Oryctolagus cuniculus: one gene and its partner. The protein of the gene in region 2 purifies or fractionates together with the protein of the main gene of each other region. This does not show direct contact. Links are inferred from orthologs where the notes say so. Each region holds a gene or a part of one and is shown on either strand. Other genes may lie near its edges.

The links. Proteins that work in one complex are often made in the same cells at the same time.
Region 1: the proteins of POLR2B (region 2) and POLR2M purify together in Homo sapiens (affinity purification with mass spectrometry; 3 studies listed by BioGRID and IntAct, counting the BioPlex papers as one, with this or other methods). This does not show direct contact. The link is inferred for Oryctolagus cuniculus from reciprocal best matches to the Homo sapiens genes POLR2B and POLR2M.

What each region holds. Positions count from the first base shown.
Region 1 is NC_091443.1:80,579,565-80,583,215, forward strand, and holds the end of POLR2M (protein GRINL1A), read left to right. Parts: intron 1-2,261; coding exon 2,262-2,405; 3' UTR 2,406-3,438; downstream 3,439-3,651.
Region 2 is NC_091439.1:107,643,842-107,646,817, reverse strand, and holds the end of POLR2B (DNA-directed RNA polymerase II subunit RPB2), read left to right. Parts: intron 1-1,728; coding exon 1,729-1,924; intron 1,925-2,196; coding exon 2,197-2,286; 3' UTR 2,287-2,422; downstream 2,423-2,976. Other genes in the region: IGFBP7 (insulin-like growth factor-binding protein 7), read right to left, coding at 2,562-2,581. UniProt on the Homo sapiens protein: Catalytic core component of RNA polymerase II (Pol II), a DNA-dependent RNA polymerase which synthesizes mRNA precursors and many functional non-coding RNAs using the four ribonucleoside triphosphates as substrates.

The DNA.
Region 1 (3,651 bases), on a different chromosome or scaffold from region 2:
CCAACAGATGGTGGGACACACTGCTTACAGCATCATCCGCTTTTAGTGACTTAGTGTTAGGTAGTACTTTGTCCACTGCTCCATGTGTTTGACATAGAACTTTAAGTGGATGTTGAGAATATATGTATAGATTAATGGGATGGGAGAAAATGTGTGTAGACTATAGAGGGAATAGAAAATATTGATATACTTAGTGATAATTTGAGCTTCCAGGGAAAGTATCTTGTCTTACTTCCTAGATATTGCTTAGCTACATCCCCATCAGGTGCTGTGCACTAACTAATAGAAAACTAGGCTCTACTCTCCCTTCACTTTTCCTTTTTTTCTTTTTTTTAAAGATTTATTTTATTTATTTGAAAGAGTTACAGAGAGAGAGGTTTTCCATCTGCTGGTTCACTCCCCAGATGGCCACAACGGCCAGAGCTGAGCCGATCTGAAGCCAGGAGCCAGGAGCTTCTTCAGGGTGTCCCACACAGGTGCAGGGGCCCAAGGTTTTGTCCCATCTTCTGCTTTCCCAGGCCATAGCAGAGAGCTGGATAGGAAGCAGAGCAGCCGGGACTAGAACCGGTGCCCATATGGGATGTAACATTGCAGGCGGCAGCTTAACCTGCTATGCCACAGCGCCGGCCCCTGTCTTCACTTTTCTTAAAAATTCAGTTGTCCTGGATTGGTATTTTTGAAGCATTCTTTTTTTTTTCTTCCCCCTCAGATTTATTCATTTATTTGAAAGGCAGAGAGAGAGAGAGATCTTTGATCTGCTGGTTCACTTCCCAAATGGCCACAACGGTCAGAGCTGAACTGATCAGGAGCCAGGAATTTCTTCCGGGTCTCTCATGTGGGTGCAGGAGCCCAAGTACTTGGGCCATCTTTTACTCCTTTCCCAGGCACATTAGCAGGGGCTGGATTGGAAGTGGAGCAGTCAAGATTTGAACCAGTGCCCATATGGGATGCCAGCACTGCAGATGGCAGCTTTACCTGCAGTGCCACAGCGCCAGCTCCAGCACTCCTTTTTAGTAGTCACTTGTTTTCCCTTTTGGTGCATTAGAAGTGTCACCTACTTAGGACTGCAACATCAAGGAAATGTTTTTAAATTGTCTGTGGAATCATAAATGCCATCCTAAGATGTTTTTAGGTTAAATTAAACCCTGCAGCTTGAAATTAGCTTCCTTGCAAGAGACATTGTAGTTGCTCCCACTATACTTACTCTTAATATTCCTGGCCTGAGGGGAAGACAATAAAGAAGTTGAAGTGATAAAGGAAGAAGGAAGCATGAGAAAAGGGAGGAGCAAAGCCAGGAATGAGCATTGCCACCTGCCAGCAGTTGGTGGTGAAGCCCTTGCGTGTGTGCAGTAAGCACATCACCAGTGTCTAAAATTTATTTGGGCTTTTGTTGGATACTTGTTTCTGTAGGACTTTTTTTTTTTTTTTTTTAAAGATTTTATTTATTTATTTGAGAGGTAGAATTACAGACAGTGATAGGAAGAGACAGAAAGAAGGGTCTTCCACCTGCTGGTTCACTCCCCAAATGGCTGCAATGGCCAGAGCTGCTCCGATCAGAAGCCAGGAGCCAGGAGCTTCTTCAGGGTCTCCCACAGGGTACCGGGGCCCAAGAACCTGGGCCATCATCTTTCCCAGGCCATAGCAGAGAGCTGGATTGGAAGAGGAGCAGCCGGAACTAGAACCAGTGCCCATGTGGGATGCTGGTGCTGCAGGTGGAGGATTAACGTATTGCGCCATGGCGCTGGCCCCTCTGTAGGACTTTTCTTGGATAGAGGTAGTCATTTTTCAAGCATTAATTTCTTGATTTTCATTGTGCTATTGAAGTATAACTCTCAGGCCTAGAAGCTAAGATTTAATCTAGGGAGGAAGGCTCTGTCAGGGAATTCAGTACAGCATTGGAGATTTTTGACATTAGATAAGTCTCATTGTTTTGTATGTATACATGCATGTGCCCACAGACTTAATGTACCCATATTTGTAACTGTTGTAAAGTTAATTTGTAAAGAGGTAGGATATTTCAGTGCATTGTTGTTCGGTAGTGGACATCGGTTACGACAGCCAGCAGGCTGATAGGTCTCAGAAGCATTGCCCTTTGTATCTGTGGTGGGGTGCAGCCATCGGGCTCCTGCCATTGCTGCAGAGACCTCCAAGTGGGGTGTTACCGCCTCTTTTTTTCTGAGTCTGTTTGAAGAACTTACCATTGAAAAATTGTAAGGAAAAGTGTGAATGTGTAACTTTTTCCTTTCCCCTTTGTTTTAAAGGAGATGCAAGCAAAGCTCGCAGCACAAAAATTAGCTGAAAAACTGAATATTAAAATGCAGAGTTACAATCCAGAAGGGGAGTCTTCCAGGCAATACCGGGAAGTAAGGGATGAAGATGATCAGTCCTCCGATGATGAATGCTGAAGATGGGCATTGGGATCATCTCCTAAACCTCAGGCTGTTGAAATGTCATTATCTCACATCCTACTTTGTAAGCATCAAGATCAGTGTCAGACCTTGTTGAGGGAAAGAATTTTGTGAAGTTACACAACGGCAACTGTGAACAAAAGCCCAGTTTGTCTTTCAGATGACTTTCATGTGCTTGAAGTTTAATATTTGAAAACAGTATGTAACCACATTGTATTAAAGTTTTGCAGTATGTTGTGCATTGGTCTGATATTTGAGTGTATGATAAAACACATTTTTTTTCCTTTAAGCCAAATGAAAGATAATTTTATTTTTTAATAACTCAATCAAATAGGATTTATTACATGTCTTTCAGTGAAACACTTAGTTGTCCCAGGCAGCTAAAGTAAATTAGGAAGACATAGTTCCCTGCTTTTTTAAATAATGAAAGGATGAAGTCTGGAGAATTATGCATGTTTGCATGGAATTACTGAGATACTGGGTTTGAAATACCTAGGAAGATACTCAGAAAATTCTTAACAAATGTTTGTTTCCTTCCGTCTCACCTTAGGAAGAATGTTACCTTTCCTCTGATCAGGAATAAGTACTTTGAGTACATGCTGGAAGGTGGACGGTCTTTATAGGTGACCAGGTTTGCCTGGAGTACTATGAGATACAGGAAAAGTCCAAGCCGACTGTGCTTGCTGGGAGCAATAGCTCTTTTGTGTTTCACCTGATTGGAGTTCATTGCTCTCACTCATGATGGGTTCATTGTGTAGGACACTAATGTTTGGTAAGGAAACCAATAATTGTTTTTTAAAAGTTACAATTGTCAGTGTATTTTTTTTCTTCAAAGAGACATACATAGGCTGTAGAAACCTCAGTCTTATACACACACACACACACACACACACACACGTGTTCATGTCCTTTTAAGTGATTTTATGGTTGTCTCCAGAGATTAATACTTATGTTACAAAAAAAATTGTCTAAAATGTTGAAGCTTTTAAAAAATGTTGAAAGGAAAAATAAAATATTAGAGCAACTTAAACACTCATGGTTGTATTTTACTGGTATTTAGTTAAATTTAACTTCCTACTACAAAAGAGTGTTCATGTATGAGATTTGACTGAAAATATGTTTGATAGGAAGGGCTCAGTTCTATTTCGTACGCTTCCAGTTGTGGTAACTGCTCTCTGTCTCCCCTCTCCTCCTGGAAAAGCAGATGAAAAAAATGTACTGAGCTAACAGTCATAACTGTTTT
Region 2 (2,976 bases):
GGTAGATACTTTTCCAAAATACTGATTTTCGCATTAAAGCTCAAATTTTTAATCACTTAGAACAGATACTTGAATTTGCTCTCCTTGTAGTGAAAGGCTTTGTTGATTTTCTCGTCTGCCAATGCCTAAGTGGGAGTTAACGCTGTTTGTGCCAGCGTGGGTGAGGTTGCATGGTTGGTGTCAGGCGATTCTCAGGTGAGAACGCTCTCAGTTGTAAATGCAGAGTTCAGAACCTCATAGTGCCTTTGTTCAAGCATGAAAAAGGCGTGTCCTCAGGGGTTAGTGTTTTTTGTTTTTTCCCCAGAAACCTTTTATTCAGGGTATACGGACTTCATGCATTTCACAGATAGAACTTCAGGAACATAGTGACTCCTCCCACCCTACCTGCCCTTCTCCCTCCTCCCTCTCCTATTCCCATTCTTATTTTTTATGAAGATTATTTTCAGGTAACTTTATACACATAAGATTATACTAAGTAAAGAGTTAAACCAATAGTGGAAACAGGACTGTTCAAAGTCATCACATCTCGAAGTGTCGATTTCACCTCTAGATTGCCTTTTGGTGCTCTGTTAGTTACCACAGGTCAGGGAGAACATATGGTATTTGTCCTTTTGGGACGGGCTTATTTCACTAAGTATGATGTTTTCCAGTTGCATCTATTTTGTTGCAAATGATATGATTTCTTAACCATGGTGTAGTGTTCCATGGTGTATGTATCCCGTAGTTTCTTTCCATTCTTCAGTTGATGGACAGTTGGGTTGATTCCACTTAGCCACTGTCACTTGAGCTGCAGGGGATCAGGGTTTAATAAGGCTGACCGTTTGTACAGCTTCCTGGAGGGCATTAGTAAAACTGCCTCCCCCTCATTGGAGTGGCTGACTGCTGGTCAGGTCTGGCTCTGCTGCCTTGATTATACCGAGGGCCCCACAATTTGAATCACTTCTGTACCACTTTTCAAAATAATGAGCTGGCCGCCCAACAGCCCCCAGAGTTGGCTTGGTTTTGTTTTGGGATACTACAACCAGCCGGTTTTACTAATTTTGTGTATTACGAATGTTAAGTAAGTCATCACCATCTGCTTGCCTGGCCATTTGAGCAATGCCTGTCACTTCCAGGAAACCTGTAAATGTTGATCTAGATCGGCTTTTAGTTTCAGCTTTTAAGAGTGGGATTGTAGGAGGTTAAGTGAGGGGCCAGCATCCCATATGGGCCCTGGTTCCGGTCCTGGCTGCTCCATGTCCAGTCCAGCTCCCTGCTAATGCACCTGGGAAAGCAGCAGATGGCGGCCCAGTGCTGGGGCTCCTTCCACCCACATGGGAGACCTGGATGGAGTTCCGGATGCCTGGCTTCAGCCTGGACTGGCCTGCTCACAGCTGTTGTGGCCTTTTGTGAACCAGTGGAGGAAGTGTGCGCACCCCATCCCGTCCCTGCAATTCTGCCTTTCAAATAAGTAAATCAGTCTTGCAGACACGTTAAATGATAGCAAGAAAAGCCGGTACTCCACACTTTGTTGTATGTTACGAGGAAAATCATGCTATATTGAGAATCCAGTGCACCTCCTCTTTTGGGGACCTTGTAATGCACAGCACGTAGTCAGTAGCCTTCTCCCCTCCACACCAGGTAGAGAATGTGAGGACAGAAAAATGAGAGCCTCGTTTTCCTTTTCTTTGCCATTAGTCAAGGGGTGTTTGTCATAAGTAAGTGCAAAACCTGTTACTTTCTTGACAGTGATGGTGGCCTGCGTTTTGGAGAAATGGAACGAGACTGTCAGATTGCCCATGGAGCAGCCCAGTTCCTAAGAGAAAGGCTGTTTGAGGCATCTGATCCCTATCAGGTTCATGTTTGCAATCTGTGTGGAATCATGGCCATTGCCAACACCAGGACCCACACGTACGAGTGCAGGGGCTGCCGCAATAAGACCCAGGTGAGTGTGTGGATCCAGGAGGTGGGGTCATTCAGGCTGACGCGGTGTGGCGGATTTGTCTGAAAGCAAGTTTGGGTGTGGTCTGCGTGGCAGCTGTTCGTCTTCTGTACGTAACAGTGGGGGAGGGGCAGCAGTGTAAGGCAGGGGCCGGATGTGAGCCCCCGGCCGCTGGGGACGCCTCCTCGGAGGACCAGCTCTTTCCGGGGCAGGGCCGTGGGCTGCGTCCCGTGCCCCCCCAGCTCTGCTCACTACGCCCTGCTCTCCCCTTTCAGATTTCTTTGGTGCGGATGCCGTACGCGTGCAAACTGTTGTTTCAGGAACTGATGTCCATGAGCATTGCGCCTCGAATGATGAGCGTGTAGCTCCTGGCCTCCCAACAGATACTTCTGATTCGGCTTTAAAAAACGACAAATTGTACTGTGTTGCAGTGAAAAGCATTTTATTTGTTTTGTTTAATGATACGCATGTTTTTCTGTAAATAAAGTTTTGTAGATAGTCTCGATGTGTCATCCTTATGCTGGCACTGTTGTGTGAAACCAGTGGCTAAGTAAAGCGTTAGCTAGGGCCGCGTGTTAGCCGAGAGCAGGAGCCGCAGTTCCCGTGACTGCTTGCAGCTTGCCGACCTGCAGTGCTGCGGTTACAGCTCAGCACCTTCCCCTGGGCACAGGAAGAAAACGGAAACAGTCAGTTCAGACATCAGGGCCTGACTTCCTGGCACGAGGCTGACCTGTCAGCGCCTGTAGTGCTGGCCTATCCAAATGAAGGTGTCAAGTGTGCACCTGAAGCGGGCGGGGCTGGGAGCCTTATTTCTGCAGTGGAATTCTGTTCTGCCTGCACTTGACTGCCGAAAAGCTGACGCATCATGGCTCTCCCTCGGCCAAGGAACAGCGCGCACACACACACACACGCACACACACACACACTGCGGGCATTTGGGCCATTTGGGTATCTAACACCATTTGTGGGTTCAGAGTCCCACCTGTGGTTGCCTTGGCAGGCCCAGACCCCATGATTCTGTGGGCCGGACGTTCCCCACCCCTGGCCTAAAATAC